Caenorhabditis elegans: one gene and its partners. The protein of the gene in region 1 purifies or fractionates together with the protein of each later gene. This does not show direct contact. Each region holds a gene or a part of one and is shown in the gene's direction. Other genes may lie near its edges. The genes, in order: C02D5.4, F07A11.5, zig-12 and sec-24.1.

The links.
Region 2: the proteins of C02D5.4 (region 1) and F07A11.5 fractionate together in Caenorhabditis elegans (co-fractionation; one large-scale study listed by BioGRID). This does not show direct contact.
Region 3: the proteins of C02D5.4 (region 1) and zig-12 fractionate together in Caenorhabditis elegans (co-fractionation; one large-scale study listed by BioGRID). This does not show direct contact.
Region 4: the proteins of C02D5.4 (region 1) and sec-24.1 fractionate together in Caenorhabditis elegans (co-fractionation; one large-scale study listed by BioGRID). This does not show direct contact.

The regions. Positions count from the first base shown.
Region 1 is NC_003281.10:8,550,864-8,554,345, forward strand, and holds C02D5.4 (Glutathione S-transferase omega), read left to right. Parts: upstream 1-1,691; 5' UTR 1,692-1,722; coding exon 1,723-1,765; intron 1,766-2,075; coding exon 2,076-2,540; intron 2,541-2,644; coding exon 2,645-2,901; 3' UTR 2,902-2,967; downstream 2,968-3,482.
Region 2 is NC_003280.10:11,610,302-11,614,944, forward strand, and holds F07A11.5 (Ribokinase), read left to right. Parts: upstream 1-1,998; 5' UTR 1,999-2,035; coding exon 2,036-2,094; intron 2,095-2,158; coding exon 2,159-2,418; intron 2,419-3,027; coding exon 3,028-3,284; intron 3,285-3,369; coding exon 3,370-3,481; intron 3,482-3,537; coding exon 3,538-3,614; intron 3,615-3,848; coding exon 3,849-4,028; 3' UTR 4,029-4,090; downstream 4,091-4,643. Other genes in the region: F07A11.4 (ubiquitinyl hydrolase 1), read left to right, coding at 1-188, 957-1,005.
Region 3 is NC_003284.9:8,762,096-8,766,822, forward strand, and holds zig-12 (Ig-like domain-containing protein), read left to right. Parts: upstream 1-1,811; 5' UTR 1,812-1,813; coding exon 1,814-1,879; intron 1,880-1,925; coding exon 1,926-2,060; intron 2,061-2,841; coding exon 2,842-2,932; intron 2,933-2,979; coding exon 2,980-3,092; intron 3,093-3,237; exon of another isoform or gene 3,238-3,383; intron 3,384-3,766; coding exon 3,767-3,955; 3' UTR 3,956-4,185; downstream 4,186-4,727.
Region 4 is NC_003282.8:11,561,453-11,567,823, reverse strand, and holds sec-24.1 (Protein transport protein Sec24C), read left to right. Parts: upstream 1-1,629; 5' UTR 1,630-1,632; coding exon 1,633-1,732; intron 1,733-1,775; coding exon 1,776-1,943; intron 1,944-1,987; coding exon 1,988-2,095; intron 2,096-2,138; coding exon 2,139-3,085; intron 3,086-3,136; coding exon 3,137-3,391; intron 3,392-3,443; coding exon 3,444-3,675; intron 3,676-3,725; coding exon 3,726-4,186; intron 4,187-4,236; coding exon 4,237-5,118; intron 5,119-5,164; coding exon 5,165-5,392; 3' UTR 5,393-5,838; downstream 5,839-6,371. Other genes in the region: pold-2 (putative DNA polymerase delta small subunit), read left to right, coding at 5,992-6,070, 6,116-6,205, 6,251-6,371.

The DNA.
Region 1 (3,482 bases):
AAAATTCTCTTTCAGATGTTTGAATTTTTCCAGTTGTTTTCAAGAAGCTCGGCAAACTTATCTCGCATTCATTTAAAGTTTGAATTTATGTTCTTACTTGATTAGACTGGAAAAGAAAAAGAAAAACACATGTTTAATTGAAACTTCAATAACTTGTTCTAGCTTCTGTGACCTTTCCAATCAGAACAATTATCACGAATGATTACTTGTGCTTACTCAATTTCATGTACTTTTGCTTAGAATTGATGTAAATGTGTTCAGAACCATAGAAAAATTCCGAAGTTTTCGAAATGCAGTTACCGTCCACTTCCATTTCAGAATTTCATGCTTCATATTATCAGCATTTGAAGGCCTACTCCCATTATCCAGTCTGATGTGTAACCCACACTATGTGACGAATATTCTGATGAAATTTAGTAAGCACAAGTTATCATTTTTAACAGTTATTTTTATCGTGACTGTCACAAACTCCAATTTTCTTTTCGAACAATACCGACCTGGTGCATTTTTCTTGAAAGATATTAATCTCTATATTGCAATACAATATTGTAAGATAGTTCAAAGTCTTAGAATTGGTCTACATAACTCCGTAATTGGAATTAAAGTAAAGGCACCGGACTACCTACCGACCACTCATTGTCAGCATTTGGCACTAGCTTCTTGCCAAAGTTGGCCAAACGTTTATAGTTTTCTGCAATTTTTTGTTACTTTTTAGTTGAGTGGTATAGTTGTTGGCAGTAGGTGCGCTTGTCGACACGAGGCAGGTATTTCTGTGCCTACAGGCCTTCTACTTCAGACATGATTTCTGCAACAATTTAGATGACTAAAATCTGATGAAATTGGGAAATCGCCAGACATCATTTTCTAGAAACATTTTGATCGCAATGATCTTGGCAGAAAGTCTATTTCATTATCATCTCATCTTTAAAAGAACATAATTTTTAAGAAAAATCTATTGGCAAACTGTGTTTCTACTTTACTTCACAGGAAGAGCAACGTTTGTGTGTGTCTGTATTTTGTGCCAATATGTGGTTTGTAGCACAGCTATGCTACAAAGTTCAAATTCGTTTTGAAGGGGGAGAGAGGAACCCCGTGATTTCTGTGTTGTCTTATTCTCATCATTAAACTCTGAACATTCAGCAATTTTGATCCATAATACTCAAACTTCTAGTTTCATCATCCTCATCTTTTCTGGTGCCCCATTATCCTCTGATTCTAAAATATAGTTTTCCACCGTGAACTTCTCAATTTTTTCCAAATTCTTTAGCGTACTTTACTTCTGAAAAACTGTGCAATCTCATTTTCAGAATCTCCACTCAATTTTCATTCATTCAGTATGCAAACTATAAATTCGAGGTAATTTAAGGATCAAAAAGTCCTTGGGAAGGTCAATAACCAATGACATGCCGCGAAGAAAAACGCAGGCAATCCTTGAAAAGAGACGATACGCAGACTATTAAACAGAGATGTTTGTCATCATTTCTGTCTTCTCGTTCTTCTCTATTTCACTCTCCTCCATAAAAAGACTATTTATACCAAACTATTCTTCACTTTGAGCATCACTTTCTGAAGACTAGACTTAATTTTTGCCTTCTTTAAAAATCTGAAGTATTGAAGATTTTATTTCATTTAAATTTGATTTAGAACTCTTGTCTTTTACTATTCCATCAAAATATAAATTAAATTTTCAGACTTATTCGCCGATTCATTTCTCAAAGAAACATGACAGTGCTTGCTGGAGTAAACAGTAAAATCGTCAAAAATGGTAAGGCTTCATTTCCAATTTTAGTTCAAGAATTCCCAAAAAAAGATAAAAAATTAATCACAGAGTAATATAATAATTGTATGTCCATATTGCATATGCAATACTATTTTTCTCAATCAATAACTTCAAGTGCAACTCTGATAGGGTTGCAATTCTTTTTCAGGGAAAATATGGTATTTAATTTGCTCAAATTGTAAAGAAGTGTTCCACTTTATCAAAAAATAGTTGGATATGATTAAAGTTCAAGTTTAATATTATTTATTAGAAAATCCTATCTTAGTTTTGCGGAAATTTAATATTATTTTTTCAGGTGACCCAGCGCCAGCTCCTCCGGCTGCTGGAACCATTCGTATCTACAACATGCGATTCTGCCCGTGGGCTCAACGTGCTCTAATCTATGCATCTGTTAAAAATATACCGAGCGATGTTATCAATGTTCACTTGCAAGAAAAACCCGACTGGTACTTCTCAAAACATTACAAAGGACAAGTTCCGACATTGGAGCACGACGAAGGAAAGAAGCATGTTATTGAATCAGCTGTGATTCCAGAATATTTGGATGATATCTATCCAGAGACTCGTATTCTTCCAACTGATCCTTACGAGAAGGTTCAGCAAAAGTTATTGTTGGATAGAATCAGTGGACAAGTGTCACCTGCATTCTACGGAGTCGTTCAAGCTGTCAAAAATCCAGATCTCCGCGAAGAAAAATTTGCGGATATCAAGAAGGCGTATGATAATGCTGAGCAGTTATTGACTGGAGATTTCTATTCAGGTATTTTTTAAGAATTAAGATTGAGAATGCGAAACTTATAAAGAACAGAAACTAAGTTGTAGTTTTAGTCTTGTGTATTTTAAAATTATTTGAATTAATTTCAGGAACCTCAAAACCTGGATTTGTTGACTATCTTCTCTACCCGAACATTCAACGCGCTTACTGGGCAGCACACATAGTTCCAGATTTCCCATTGGAAGCTGAATCGTTCCCAGGACCAAACTATCCAAGACTATCCAAATGGTACAAGGCTCTGGAATCGATTCCAGAAGTTGCCGCTGCCAGTCAGCCAACAGAGAATGGGGTTGGATTCTTCAAGGATTACCTCGGTGGATCTCCAAACTATGACTATGGATTGTAAACATTTGTTATTATATTTTTAAACTTTGTGTTGTGGATGTGAATATGTGGAATTTAATAAAACATTTCTCGATATAATAATGATTTTGTTGAATTAGAAAAATTAGAAAAGTGGACGATTCTAAAAACAAAAGTTACAACGAAAATCATCGAAGGAAAAAACAACTGAATTCCAAAATAGTTTTCAGAGGTGATCACAAAATGTTCTCAAACGATATATATTCTACCATCAATAATTTTATTGGCACTATATCACAGTCCATAATTCCTGTGCTTTAATTATACTTTTCAGTATAGAACAATATGCTATATTATCAAGTTATGCGTCCAATAAACACAATTTATTTTTCAGACTGAATTTAAGCCATATTGAGAATAGCGAAATAAAAACGTAGAGGAAATTTGTGATCGCCATTCACAATTAATTCTTAGATCGCAATGATAACAAACTTCGATTCAAAAGTCATCATGCAAATTCACCGTTCTCGTGTGTGTGTGTTTTTGGAGGAAATAACACAATTTTGTGACTGATTTTTTTACAACATGTGGTTTGTAGCATAGTTCAAAGTCATTCTAGAGGGG
Region 2 (4,643 bases), on another chromosome or scaffold:
AGTTACTTCGGTCATTATATTAGTATGGGTCGACTCGCCGATTTTGATTCGTCGAAAACGAAAATCGAATGGAGGAATTTCGATGATTCGACGGTGGCTCGGCAGTCTACGAGCACTTTACAAACGGAGGATGCTTACTTACTCTTCTATAAAATGAGAGATCAGAATGTGACGAGGAGTATATTCAAGTGAGTTGGAAACCCCAAGAACTATAAATCTGGGAAAGAATTTCCTGAAATTCAAGAAAATCGATAAATCCTGAGAACGGCTTTTTTTGAGACGAAGACGTTCAAATAATTGAGATAGTTTCCAGCACGGTATTGATAGTATGATAGTTGATTAGAAAGCACTATTGTAATAAGCAAATTGATAATTGAATTTGTAAGCATTGGATAAAAGTGAGAACTGATTGATTCAGCTTCAGATTTGGACAATTTATATATTCCAAATCTAAATAATAAGTTCCACGACCGAGGTCACGCAAATTGAAAATTTTTTTCTTAAATTTTTCTTTAAAAAATTAAATAAAAATTTTGGATTTCAATAATAAGAAACCGTGATTTGCTTGTTTTTTCAAAACTTTTAGGCAAAGATTTCATAAATCGCCAAAAAATTGTGAATTTCTGTGGTTATTTAAGATATCCTGCAGGTTCGAGCTCCTAGAATTTGAAAAAAACAATTAGTACGAAATTAGTAAAAAAAAACCAGGATAACATATTTTGACCGACTTACAAGGTAATGCTTGAAAACTGAATGTTCAGAACTTTTTCACTGGAATAAAAATTTCAAAAAAGGTTTTGAAAGTTTTTCCATAATATTTTTTATTTTGGAACTAGTTGTTCATTTTCAAACTGATGAGTTTTTTTTTTTTTTTAATGATTTAATTTTTAATGATCACCGCGCTGGGTTTTTATCAAAGTAACCTATTCCGATCAATGAACAATTTTTTATTTCAGACGCCACTACTCGTGTGATCCTGGAGCTCCAGAAGAAGTCAAAATTTAGTCATTTTTCTAGATTTTCATAAATTCATCAATTTTTTTTTCCACGTGTTGTTCATTGTCTTCATTTCTTTCAAAACCTGTTACCATGTTTTTAGATATTACATCTTTGATTTAATATTTATATATTTTTCATTAATTTTCCTAATTTTATTGATTATTAAAATAACAATTGTTTGAATCCACGGAGACCGGTTTCAGTTTTTTTTTTGTTCCCCGAAGAGAATAAATTAATTTCAAAATTAAAATTCTGTCCTTGACTGCAAAGGAAAAAAAGAAAAAAGAAATCAAGATAAGCCGATGAAAATTGATAAGAAGGGGAAAAGATAAGATACGAGTTCCAAATATTATCTGTTTTTAGTTCAATGCATTTTGAGGCCATTCACGTGCCATTTTGCAGGCCTACGTGCCTGCCTATCGCCTGATTTCTGAATTTTGGCCCGTGATATATGACGCCATTGTTTTGTTTTTTTTTCACATAAAATCACTGTCAGTGAAAATTTTTAAAGATCAAAAAAATAACCAAAACAATTAATTTTTGATCACAATTTTATCTGACCTGAATGGTTTAAAATGGGAACATTATCTGTTTGGGAACCTTCAAAAAAAATTTTTTTGCTTTTTTTAAAATTTGCTTTTGGTTTTTGAAAGCTTTTTCTAGGAATTATAGGGTCTGTCATCATTGTAGGTTCTTCATGCGAACGGGCCTACGTGCCTGCCTACAAATTATTTGCTTCGCTTTCAAGAGGACTAACATGTTTCCTTTCAGTAGAGTGTAGGCATGAGGCAGGCAGGCATTTTTAGCCACCTAAAAAATTTCTGGAAAATAATACTACGTGTGTCTTATTCTCTTACCATAACTGACCAGCTGCCAAATTTGTTGGCAAACAGTTTTTGCCCTCAACAAGCTAACCACCTGATTCTCTTTCTCTCTTCTCTTTTTTGTGTTTCTTTGATTATTTGACACGTGCTATCAATCGCATTTTTATTTTTTTATTTCAGAATTTTCTAAATTAAAAAAAAAGCATATCGTTATGTCAAGTGAAAACCAGAAAATCGTGGTTTTCGGAAGTATCGTTCAGGATCTTGTCAGGTCTGTTTTTTTTAAATTTTATCTTTCATTAAACAATTTTACATTATAAACTACCAATTTCCAGCTACACAGATAGTTTCCCAAGACCTGGAGAGTCGGTGCGCGGTCACAATTTCAAGCTGGGCTCCGGCGGAAAAGGCGCCAATCAGGCAGTTGCTGCGGCTCGCCTAGGGATCAATGTCTCAATGATTGGAATGGTTGGAGAAGATATGTTCGGAGATTCTAATATTAAGGATTTGAGCAGCAATGGAGTTGATACAAGTTGTGTGGGACGGACCAAAAAGACACATACCGCCACAGCGACTATCACTGTTAACAAAGAAGGTTTGTATCCGAGTTTTGGCGGGAAAAAAATATTTAAGATTATGTGTGGCCTCTTGAATGTCTTGAAGAAACATTCAATATTTGTAGCAAGACCCTACCTCTAAGAAAAAATTGCCAACCGGGTTAAGAATAAGTTCCTATAGCTATATCTGTTCTTATAGCTCGTAGATCACTGAAATTCTAATTTTGTTCTGAAAACGATTTGTCTACGTTCATAGAATCTATTTTCTCTTTCTTTTTCCCCCATTTTTTTGGTGACGTAATATAAATAACTTATTATTTCGAAGAACCTTCAGTGACGACGACAAACAAATAACTTTGAACTGGAACTAATAGTAAGAAGTGGGGGAGAGAGGGTAAGGAGAATTACAAATTTTTAGACTCAAAAAGTGAGCTCAAAATGTGATGCATCTAGTAGAAAATTGGAATTTGACATATGTAGAAAAAATATTTCAAATAGCATCTACAGACATGAAAAGTTCGATTTGTTACAGTGCAATTGAGGTGTAAAACTATTAAAATATGGTAAATTCGAAAAATTAAATTTTCTTGATTTTCAGATTTACATGAGACTTACATTATTTCAAATCCAAATTCCAAAATTTCCAGGCGAAAACAACATTGTGGTGACGCTGGGTGCAAATCTTGAAATGTCGCCTGAAATCGCTGATGCGAACTCTTCAAAAATTGCTGGCTCGAAAATGGTCATTTGTCAGGGAGAAATTGACGAAAAAGGAAATAGAAGAGCCTTCGAAATTGCTAGAAGTCACGGAGTCACCACTTTTTTAAATCCAGCTCCTGGGGATCCGAATATGGATAAGACGATTCTCGAGCTGGTTGATATTATTTGTACCAATGAGAATGAAGTAGGTCTATGTTATTTTTTCTAATCAATTGAACTTTTCCAAATATTGTTCTGAACAAAAAATAAATTAAATTTCAACTTTCCAGGCGGAATTCATCACTGGAATCGCTCAAAACAACGTGAAAGACGCTGAAAAAGCAGCACGTGCAATGCTCAAAATGGGACCTCAACATGCGATCATAACTCTCGGAGGCAAAGGTTGGGGGACTTACACTGGGATAATTTGAAACAATAAATTTTTTTTTGAATTGTAGGTGTCCTGCTTGCATCCAAAGGAGTCGATGATGTTGAGCATACCGCCGTGATCAAAGTCGATGCAGTTGATACTACGGTAATACTAAAAAATAAATTTTGTCCGAGCTTGGGTCCCACCACAATATATTTTTTGAAACGAAAGAAATTAGTTGCCTTTCTAGTTATTTTTAGTTAAAAATGTTGTGCATGGGCCTCTAAAAAACTACTTTATCAAAATCAAAATTTTTGGCGCAAGTTTTCTACAGTAACCTGGAGGAAATATGAACAAGATCAATCTGCATATAGGTATAATATTAATTGAAAATTCCAGGGAGCCGGTGACTGTTTCTGTGGTTCACTGGCTGCTCATTTGGTTGCCGGCCATCCGATTTCCGCATCAATACGCTCGGCTGCCAACTTGGCCGCACTTTCTGTGACACGTCATGGAACTCAATCGAGTTATTGGAAGCTCGACGAGATTCGCCAACAATACCCGGAATTCTTGCCTTAAAACTTATTACAGTGTCTTTCAAGAAATTTGTGATTAGGTCTGAAATAAAAATTCTGCTTTCCAAACACATTTTATACTTTCAATATGTTTTAATTAGCTGTTGAACATTGCAGGGAGCCTGAATTTTTTGAAAATTTGGAAATTTACCGTTTAATGTTAATGTTTGTTCCAAAATAACACAATTCTCCTATAATGAATTTCTTTCCCGTTTTGTTATTTTCCTTTTCAACAAATTTAAATGCTGAAAATTTAATTTCCAGAATCGCATAGTCATTGTGTATAAAGAAATTTGCGTAAATTCAATTATTTCATTGTTTTCGTTTTTCGAGCGAGTCGAGAGCTTCTCCGATAAAAATACAGACGAAAGACAAGAATGATGAATTAAATAATATAAGAATGACGACAAATTGGAAAATGTTTAAATAGTAGATGGGACGGGGGGGGGGGGGGAGGTCTTAAACTAACATTTTACGAAAACTGATCCGCTATTTTCATGAGAGACTTGAATTAGTGTCTAGTAGGGAGGAAAATTGAGAAAGCGGTGTGCCAAAAAGACAGAAATCCTTCCGGCGGAATGAAGAAAATGAGATATAAACCGGGGGAATAGTCCGTTAA
Region 3 (4,727 bases), on another chromosome or scaffold:
CTATCTTTTGTATCTCTTGCTCCTACAAAATATTTTTCATGCGAAAATATTTGAATTACACACTTGAAAAATAATTTGAGAAAGGTATTCCCTGACGTACCGAAGTTTCAAATTACACACACTCTCGGCATCTTTATACAATATCACTCTTACTCTTTGAACTCTCTGAAACATAATATTTGATCTTTTGATACATGATTTTCAGATTGAATGTGGAGTTCCACTGCTGAATTACAATATGGAAAACTTACAAGGTGTTGGATAGAAAAAAGTAAGAATGAAAACAGTTTGGTTCATATAAGTTTATTATAAAATAATTTGTTTTTAACTGAAAAATTGTCAGCTTATGTTTTTACCATTTTTGGGATTCATCTCATTTTGAGACCTAGAAAGGCAATATATTTTAATTTTTAACGCGACTGGGGCATTTAAGTGTCCTATATCGTTTTCCACATTGCTCTATTCGGCCAAGTCTGGTAGCTTATTCTCTGGTTTCTTTCTAAATAGGAAATTATGCAGCTTATTGTAAGATGAGGCCAATCAACTAAATTGTTCTTTGACCCAATGCTAAACCTACATAGTTGAATTGCAATGTGGTCATAAAGAACCGCGAAGAATTGACATTATGAACGTACAATGCAGATATCATCAATGAAACCATGCACAATGCGCACGCCGCGATTTGCAAAAATGTGCACATCATGATCGTCCTATTGTGACAGGTCTATAAATCCATTGCTTTCGAGTTGCTCAGTTTCAAAGTGGCATTTTCATTTAACAACTTTTGAAATCCTTAATACTCATACAACAACCAGCGACGTCATTTCCATCCGTTCCCAAATTGCTCATTGATTCCGATTTCAAAATACTCTCAAATATCCTTTGTGAAGCGTGTCTCGTCAACTTTGCCTTCGCCCTGCAGCTCTTCATTGAGAACTTTGTAAAAATTTTGGGATCTTCAACGTCGACGAGAAATGAAGAGTTAGGTGGGAAGTGCCATCCCATCCACCTTTCTCCTCCTCCGCAAAATCTGTGGGCAGCTCCGGGGGGCTCCCGGGACATTCATCTTTCCCATCTTTTTTCGTCGTTTCGTTCTCCGACTAGCGACCAGGAGGCGGAGAAAGAGCTTAGCAGCAGAAGAAGTAGAAATTACAACACCTTCGTGAAACAGAGAAAAAGATAAAGGGAAAATGGGACTCTAACAGCGACCTCTTGGCACTTTTGTCAGTTGGAAACTACAAGCGAGACATCATTTTTCTCCTCTTCATATTTTTTGTTCTCCTCTCAAATTTGTTTTTTTTAAATTTATTCTTGAGTGCTGATCTCAATGCACAAAAAACATGACTAAAATCAACTGTTATATGTACAAAAAACCAGTGATTCAATTTTCGAAGCATTTTTCAACCTTCAACCATTGGTCTTTTTGCCTTTTTCTTTTTTTTCTCAGCATTATAAAGTGTTTTCCCTCAAAATACTGTTGACACATCTTGTCTAGATCTTCTCCAACATTCCCCTACTTGTGCTTGTTCATTGAGAACATAAAACATTGTTTGCTTAGTTCTCCCACCCAAAAGCCACTACGAACTACCGTTCAAGAAGTCTTTCGTCTCCTATTTTCCTGTGAACTCAATGGATAAATGATGGTAAAAACACATTGGCAGATCATTTTTCATTCGCTCTTGGCGGCGCTCTTACCTGATCAGAAAACACGCCCCTCTTTTCTTTTAGTGTGTAAAACTTTAGGTTACCGAGATTCCGTATATTCATGGCTTCGTATTCAATCATAAAACTACAGATTTTAATTTTTTCAGATATGGCACCACCATCAATTTACGGAGAACCAAAAATTAGATCAGAGAACGGGTCGGTGTTCCTTGAGGTACGAATTTGCTTTTCCTTTTGAAAATTGCTAAGTTTTCTTCCAGGTCATCGTCACTGGAGCTGATGTTTCTAAGATTCAGTGGTTTTTCGGACCAGACGAGCTTGAGGAGAACGAGTTCCTGAAGTTCTCAAACAGTGACGAAGGAGGCAACCGCACCAAGTTTGTTGCCGAAATCAAGGTCAGTTTGAGAGCAACTGTTTGCCAAAGCATCTCGTATAAATCACATAAAACGACTCACGAGTCATTTTATGGTCCCATTGCTGCGATGCGCTCTGCAACTGTTGTCTGTATGTGTTTTGATCTGCGTTTAATTGGTTTTTGATGGACTTACCGTAGATTTTGGGCAAAAGTGCGGCAAAAGCAGAATTAGCTGTCGGTCGGGAGGTGAAAAGCAAAACATAACAACGGTTAAGCATTTGATCAAAAGGAAACTCTAAGTACATTCATCATTACAAAATACTTTTTACTTTACTATATTCTTTATTTTTTTCGTATCTCACATTAAATATACATCAATAACGTGAACTGTAATTTTGAAAATTCAGTAAACATTAAAAAAAGCCGTGCAGTTTGAACTTCACATTAGGAACTATAATTGTAAAAGTTACTAATGATAGTAGTAGTTGAAAAACAAACCACATAAGCTACATTACTGGTAAAACGGAAAAGCAACTGAAAAACTGTCCAACGGTCCAAAATGCCGCAGACTGAAAAAAAAAACTGATGTCCGCCGGTGGTCTGTCTCCATGTCAGCCAATAAGCCGATTGTCGACCGCCCCGGTCGCAAATTTCGTTTTTCTAAGCTTAAAAAAAAACTCCGAACACAAAAACGATTTTATCAGCTGCCATTGGGCCGCTTCTGAGCAATCCCGCTTTACCTGTGATAAAAAATAATCGGAATTATGAATTTTAACTGTTAACAAAACACCTTTTTGCTTCTTTAAATCATCATTTTATAGGACTTTGATAAACCACTTGCCGGAGAATACAAAGCCGTCTTTGCCAACGCCGATGGAGAGAACAGCTCTAACTTCACAGTCGCAGCAGGAAGTGAGCTCATTATCAAAAACACTAAAAGCTTACACATACAATTTCAGACGCCCCAGACTTCCATGACAAGCCACATATTGTTCAAAGAGATAACGGAAATGTGATTGTGATTAAGGTCCGCGCAAAGTCCCACCTTGAGATGAAGGCCGAATGGTTCAAGGTATGTCTGTCACCTTACTTTGAATCTTAGGGGAAAAAATTTCCCTGAATTCTTATTCGGTATTTTTCTTGGCATTGCTAAATTCATTTTGGTTGAACCAGAATAGAGCTTCTCGAAGATGGATCGACTGACTGACGTGTCTTTTTTCTTTTGTCTTCTTTCTTCCACCGAAGAAAAAAATGTAGTTGTCCTAATTTCCACATTTATGTTAGTCGAAGTGAACCTCTCCGGCTTTCTCAAGGGGATTCAAAATAGAAAGGCAGAGATGGGTAATGTAAAGAAGTGTGGAAATAAGACAAAAGTTGGGAGGCCTCCTCGTCCGCGCCTTTGGGTTGTGCCGAGACAGATACTTGAGGCTCATGGAGCAGATAGAGCGAAGTTTTGAGTAGTGAACAAAAAAGAGAAATGGCGCAAAAAACTAAAAGCAAAAAGGTTCAATAAACATTAAAAGAATTCACTTGTTGTCTGGTTCAAAATGTAAAATGAAAAATGAAAAATGAACATTTCAATGGGCATGCTTGGAACCAAGTTTGAGTTTTTTTGGAATGCTTTGATAAATAAAATTAACAAACTTGTTTTGGAAAAAATTTTCTGAACGACCGTCTAGTATAAATCATTTTTAAATTAACAGAAAAAAAGTAAATTTCATATTTTTCACTAATTCATTCTTCCAGGATGAAAAACCAGTGAAATTCACTGACCGAGTTAAGGCTGTTGTAAAGAAGGACGATAAGGACAAAGACGGATTCCAATTCCTACTCGAAATCACCGGACCACAAAAAGACGATGAAGCAAAATACAAGTGCGTTGTCAAGAACTCCGAAGGACAAAACCAACAAGCGTTGAACTTGGTTTTCGATTAATTTTATAAATTTTCCCTTGGTTTTTAATTGTCATACAATTCAATTCATAAAGCCTCAAATCAATTTTCATGTTAATCGTTGCTTCTGATTTTCGATTTTGGTAGTTGCACTTTCCGCTTTTTTTTCTTCTGTAACTTTTAACGTTTTGTAGTATTTGTCTTCTCAAAGTAATTTGAACTTTGTGTCCCATGCACATGAATTGGTATCAGCCAAAATAAAAAAGTTTCTTGACACATTGAACATGAGAAGATATACTTGCAAGTACAGAAATCAATATATATATATACAGTGCTGGCCAAAAAGATATCCACTTTCAGTTTTTTGACGATTTCGATATTTTTTCCAATGGGCATAACTTCAAAACTAGGAAAGGTACCAAAAAATTTTCAACTGGTAAAATGTAGCTCGTGATCAGGCCTATGTATTTTTACATGTTGCAATTATTCATCCATCACATGGCAAGTAATAAAGCGGCGGGCATCTCGTGAGTCCGTTTTTGACGATGATTACTAAAACGACTGTAACTCAAGAAACATATTTTTAATGAAAGGTTTGAGAAAGTAACAAAATGTTTATTTAATTTTTCATTGTTTGAACATATCAACTTTGTCCTAAAACCTCCATTTAAAAAAATGTGTGCGCTGAAACTAGTGTCTCATTAGACACTGTTTAGAGGCTTTGTTCAAAAATCAGGTTTCTTGGATTGAAAATCTTTTTCCGACAATTTTTGTGAAGAACTGATGTTGTTATTATATTTGAACTACATATTAAC
Region 4 (6,371 bases), on another chromosome or scaffold:
CAAAATAATTTCAATGCTTTCAAGTTCATAACTCAAAATTGTCATTAAAAATCGGGTAAGTAAAATAAATGCGGATTTGTATAATTCATGACCGACAAAATAAGGATAAAACTTATTAGCATCATAATGGATGTGTTGAGCGGCGGATGCGGGCGGCACACACTCAAAAGAAGTAAAAGAACATGCATTGTTTATCCGCGGCTCATTCGTCATAACAAGCTCTAATAAAGTAATAAATACCTAATGGACGTGAATAGAACGAAGGAAAAGGACCAAAAAAGGATATGTGACACCTGACGCAAGTGTTCTCTACCGATTTCACTTCGCTTCTGATACACAATTACATTATTTTAGCATCGTGCCTGGGAAATGAAGTCTTTAGGGAATCGTAAAATTTAAACCATCCGTCGTTCTGCACTAATTGATCAAAAGTGAAAGGGCAAGGGAAATTCAGCTAACGAAGCCGAATTTATTTGTCAAACTGAAGCTTAAAAGCATTTTTTGAAAAAACTATAAGCACAAAATAATATTTCTTACAAGTATATTCAATAGAGTTCGAAATTAAACATTCGTGAGGGATGTTCAATCGTCTTTTTATCCGATGGGTAGTACCTGACAGTAACAATAATAACTTAACCTTGAGACCATAAGTGGCAGACGGTGAAAGGATTCGAAGCGCCTAATTGCCATTGGAATCGGGTCATTTGTGTTACTAATGTTCCGGGATACAAAAAAACAGTGAAACGTGTAGACACCCTGATATCAATATTTATAGGAACAAAGTTGAAACTGATACATTTTCTTGAGGGTTTGAGTGGGCCGAAAGATTGCAAAAAAAAAGTCAAAAAGTGAGCGAGTGACTAATGTAAATGGAAACTGTACAAACATACTGAATAGGGAGGGAAGAGGTCAGAATAAAAGAAAACTCTTTCCTATTGTTGCCAGTAATGGACGGTGAGATCCAGAAAAACAGAGAAGGGCGGTGCGGTTTGAATACGAAATACGGAAAACGAGAAAGGGATTGAGAAACAGCTGGCGATCTATACCACAATTAGCATAAATAATAAGAACCTCATTAATGAATATCGTGAGGAAATTTTTTTTTTTTGAAACCTTACTTTGAATATAAATGTGTTTAGCCAAATTTTTGTAATTTTGAGCACACAAAAACGTGCATCGATATTATTAATAAGGTCTATTATCACATCTAGTTGGAGTTTAGAAGGATTTCCCGAATTAAACTGAACAAGCAGTACTAGCGGGTAATATTCTATTCAAAACCTACAGAATCCTGATTCAAATAGTAATTTTTAATCGCCTAGGTGTAATCTAAATAATTATCAACATTTCCATTTACGGAAACAAAGAAAAAAGAAAAAAAAACAACAAAACAAAAAATTAAAATTCAAAAAGTGCCGAAATGAAGAGAGACAGCTGTTGCCTGAAGAGACGCAGCACGCTGGGTCTCGCAGCGATTTGCCCACCGCGACGTTTGCGTACACGGTGGATCGCGCTGTGACATGGAACTTTACAGCAAAATCAACGTTCTTTTCGGGATTTAATTAATTTCTAGCTCGATTTCTAGCTTTTTTATTTTGAAAAATATAAAATAATCTTTATACTTGTTCCAGGATGTCATATCAGCCGCCACCAAACGGGCAAATGCCCGGATATCCTCAACAGCAATTTAACCAACAGCCGCAGTTTCAGTCAAACGGATTTCCCCCTCCAGGTGAGTTTATATGAACATTTGCATAATACAACAATTGTTTTAGCAGCGCCGCAAAAGCCAGCTCAAGTCCCAGGTGGATTTCCTCCACCCCATCAGCAACCAAATGGACAGTATCAAAATGGAGGCTTAAATGGAAATTCGTCTCACTTGGCACAATCTGTGAATAATATGTCTATTGGAGCTAGATCAACTCCGTCAGCACAACCCCCAAGTGAGTTGCTTTTTTTTCGCTAATCCGTTAAGTTTAATTTTAAGATCCGTACCAGCCAGCAGGATATCCCGGAGCTCCACCACAGCAATTGCAACAAGTACAGAGACAGCAAACTCCTCAACAGTTCGCCGCTGTACCTCAAAGTGTTCAAGGTAAATAGTGTTTATAGAGGCAAAGCTAAAACTTCTATTTTAGCTCCTAGTGCCACACCTGCAGGTCCACTTCAAGCAATGCAACAAGCGCCTGCTCCGACTCCGGGAATTCCGCAAATGAACCAAGGAGCTCATCTGCCGCCACAACCACATCAGATCCATCAACCCACTCCGCTTCGACCACAAATCCCTGGTTTTCCACAGGCAGGCGGCTCTCCAAGTTCGTTCCAAGCTGGAGCACCCACTTCACAAAATGTTCAAGGCTACCCAGGTGGACCATCTTCTGCTCCTAGCGCTTACCCAGGTGCTCCACAAGTGCCTCAAGCGCCCAATTCGTTCATCCCACCTGGCACAGGAGGATTTCCACCAGGACAACCCACAGCGGGCTCGTTTCCACCCGGTCCACAAGTTCCAGGATCATATCCCTCTGGCCCAGCAGATATTCCACAAGGCCCAGGCATGCCAAGAGCATTTCCTCCGGGAGCCTCAGCTCCAGTTGCACCAGGGATGCCAGGAGCATTCCCTCCAGGACAAGGAGGACCAGGAATGCCGGGATCATTTCCCCCGGGAGCCCCAGGCCCAGGAGGACCAGGAATGCCAGGATCATTCGCTCCAGGAGCTCCAGGCCCAGGAGGTCCCGGCGGATATCCCTCAGGAGGTCCAGGTATGCCGGGAATGCAAGGTGGATACCCCGGCGGCCCACCACAGCAACGACAACAACGTCTTGATCCTAATATGATGCCAAGTGCTGTTCAAGTTATTGATGATGATTCGTCGACTCGTAGCGGGATCTTCCCAACTGGATATCCGAACGCTGAATTGCCGCCACTTGTTTCTACAAATTCTTTCGCTCAAGATCAAGGAAACTGCAACCCCAAATTTATGAGATCAACCCTCTACACAGCTCCACAGACTAATGACATTTTGAAAGCATCGCAGATTCCGCTCGCCGTTGTCATTTCGCCATTCGCATCTCTGACTGAATATGAGGTTTTTTTTTTAATTTTTCAAAAATGAATAATCAATTATTTTCAATTTCAGAAAGAACCACCAGTCGTCGATCTGGGACCACAAGGACCGATTCGTTGCCAGCGTTGTAAGGCATACATTTGTCCGTTTATGGAATTCCAAGATGGTGGACGCTCCTTCCGTTGTCCATTTTGCCATGCTCGAACTTCTGTCGAAGATGCTTATTTCGCCCATCTCGATCATACAGGCAGAAGAACTGATATTGAAATGCGTCCAGAACTCTGTCTTGGAGCGTATGATCTCGTAGCTACAAAACAATACTGCAAGGTACGTAATTAAAAAAATCGCAATTTTCAAAAATTCTAAGTGACATTTTTAGAATGGAATCGCGCCAAAAGAACCGGCCTTCATATTTATGATTGATGTATCCTACAATGCTATTTCAAACGGAATGCTTCCAATTCTTTGTCAAAATCTGGAGAAAGTACTTCGAAATTTGCCAAGAGAATCTGGACAGCTCGAGTCGTCTATGCGTATAGGATTGGCTACATTCGATCAGGCGGTTCATTTCTTTGACATTTCGTCGGCATCTCCAAAAATGCTCGTAATGTGTAAGTTTGATAAACTTATAAAAATTTGTCTAAATATGTACTGTTTTTAGCTGATGTTCAAGAGCCATTTGTTCCTATGGTCGATGGACTTCTTCTCCCTTACAACGAGGCACTTCCTGGACTTCGTGCCGCATTGGCTGAAATTCCTAAACTCTTTTCGCAGTCGAAAACCACCGAAACCATTCTTCAACCCGTCGTACAAGCCGGTCTTGACGCTTTGAAGTGTGCCGACAGAGCAGGAAAAGTGATTCTGTTTTCAACTGTTCTACCAACATATGATGCACCGGGAAAGCTGAAATCCAAAAATGATCGATCTCTTCTCGGGACAGATAAAGAAAAGAATGCACTGGTTCCACAAGAAGATTCATACACGAAGTTGGGAGAGCAATGTGTCAAGTCAGGAGTTACTGTCGATTTATTCCTCTTCCCAAATGCTTTCATTGATGTTGCCACAATTGGTCAGCTTTCTGCAGTTACGGGAGGATCTATTTTCAAATTTCAGTATTTCTCGGTAAATTTAAAGAAAAACCAATAATTTTATTAATTTTATTTTTATTTCAGGCCGATAAAGACGGTGTTCGCATGTTGAATGAGTTGGAACGACACGTTTCTAAGAAAATTGCATTCGACTGCATGGCAAGAGTAAGAACGTCTACAGGAATTCGTCCTATCACTTTTACTGGCTCCTTTTACATGGAAAACTCAACGGATTTGGAATTGGCTACATTGGATGAAAGCAAAGCATTCATCACAGAAATCAAACATGATGATAGTCTGAAAGATCCAGCTTCCTTCATTCAAACCGCTGTACTGTATACGTCGATGACTGGACAGCGCCGTTTGCGAATTTTGAACTTATGCCTTCCAGTTACTGCTGATTACAACCAAGTTTACCGACTTGCTGATCCGGAAGCATTGACAGCATTCATGTTGAAGCAAGCTGTTCAATTGAATCGTGACAAGGGAAGCTCAGAAATGAGAGAATCACTTTCTTCTCGTTGTGCACAATTCCTAGCGACCTATCGAGAGAAGTGTAGTGAAGGTGCCCCACTTGGACAACTGATTCTTCCTGAATCTCTGAAATTGATGCCGCTCTATGTGAACTCTATTTTGAAAAATGATGCGATCAGTGGAGGAAGTGAAATGACAGTCGACGACAAAGTGTGGCAGATGGAATTGATCCGTGGGCTACGAACTGAAAATGTCATGCCTCTTATTTATCCAAGAGTTATGCCAATCTCTGATCTACAAATCAATGATACTGAAGAAATGAAGGATCTTCCAAAACCTGTTAGAGCGAGTTCTGAGTTCCTGGAAAATTCGAAAGCCTATATTATTGATAACGGTGTTATTCTGTTTGTCTGGGTTGGCTCTGCATGCCCCCAGACATGGGTTCAAGACGTGTTTGGTGTTGGTGCTACAAATCAAATTGATACCGAGAGTGTAAGTTATCAATTGCTACGTTCAATTAGTCAATTACATTTTTCAGGGAACAATTCCGGAAAAAGACAATGGTCATTCACGTGCTCTTCGTCGTGCAATTCAACTTTTGCCACGTGGGATCCGAGAGCGAAAAACGTTCGTTGTCGTGGAAAAAAGCGGCCTTGAGCCATGGATGAAGAAATTTTTAGTGGAAGACAAGGCTGGTCCTGCTAATATGTCATACGTTGATTACCTTGTGGATATCCATCGCAAAATCCGCGATCTCATTTCCTAAGTCGTTGATACTGTGATAGAATTGCTTCTCTTGATTGTTCCCTTTGTTCTTCCTTCATATTATTTTGATCACGCCAAAGCAAATCTTGTGATTAGAAATGTTGGAAGAATTAATATTTTGTACCGGTTTCTTTGTACACATTCATTTCCTTCCCTCTCGCCGTACTATTTTCTTTTAATATTATGGAGCATGGTTTGTAAAAATTAAGATATTAGCTTTCCTAGCACCTTATCAGTGCAAAAATAGAATTTGTTTTATCTGCTTTTTCCCAGATTCCTAATTTATTCTTTTCCAGTTGCTCTCGCGACTTTTAGAGATTTCTATTTATTGTTCCTTTTTTTGTAAAATATCCCCTATTACCCCGTCCATATAATTTATTGTGATTTGAAATGGGATCGAATGTGTTTAATTTGATGGTGTCTTATGAAAATAAAATGTTTTTGATTAAACATTTGAGAATCGAATATGTTGACTTTGTGAATATTATATTTTTGAAATTCACTTCGGTGTAATGTTAACGCGCTCTAACGCAATTTGCCGCGAAATTTCAACATTGACAAATTTGCCTTCTTGAATTGATTTTTTTCTTTATTTTAAGAATGGAAACCGCTTGGTCCAACATCCTAAACTATAAGAATGTCTCAGATCGATACATTCTCACTGAAAAAGATAAAAAAGGTATTTATATTTTGCTCTAAGCTTTAAAAAGTTATTTTCTTTCAGGTGCGTTCACTAGACAGTACTTTGAAGTCTACGAAGCTCGCTTGAAGGAACTGAAACCTCGTATTTTGGAAAATGCAGAACGTGAAATTGGTTAGAATTATAATATTACTAATAAACCTTAATTTTTATCTTCAGGCAAGGGAAAATTCACGCATTCACAATTGAGCGATGCTAAACAAGACGAGGAAATCTTCGTGGTCGGCGTTATTGTAAAGAGAATAGCTGCAAGACCATCAATTTTGAAATCGTTGCTCAA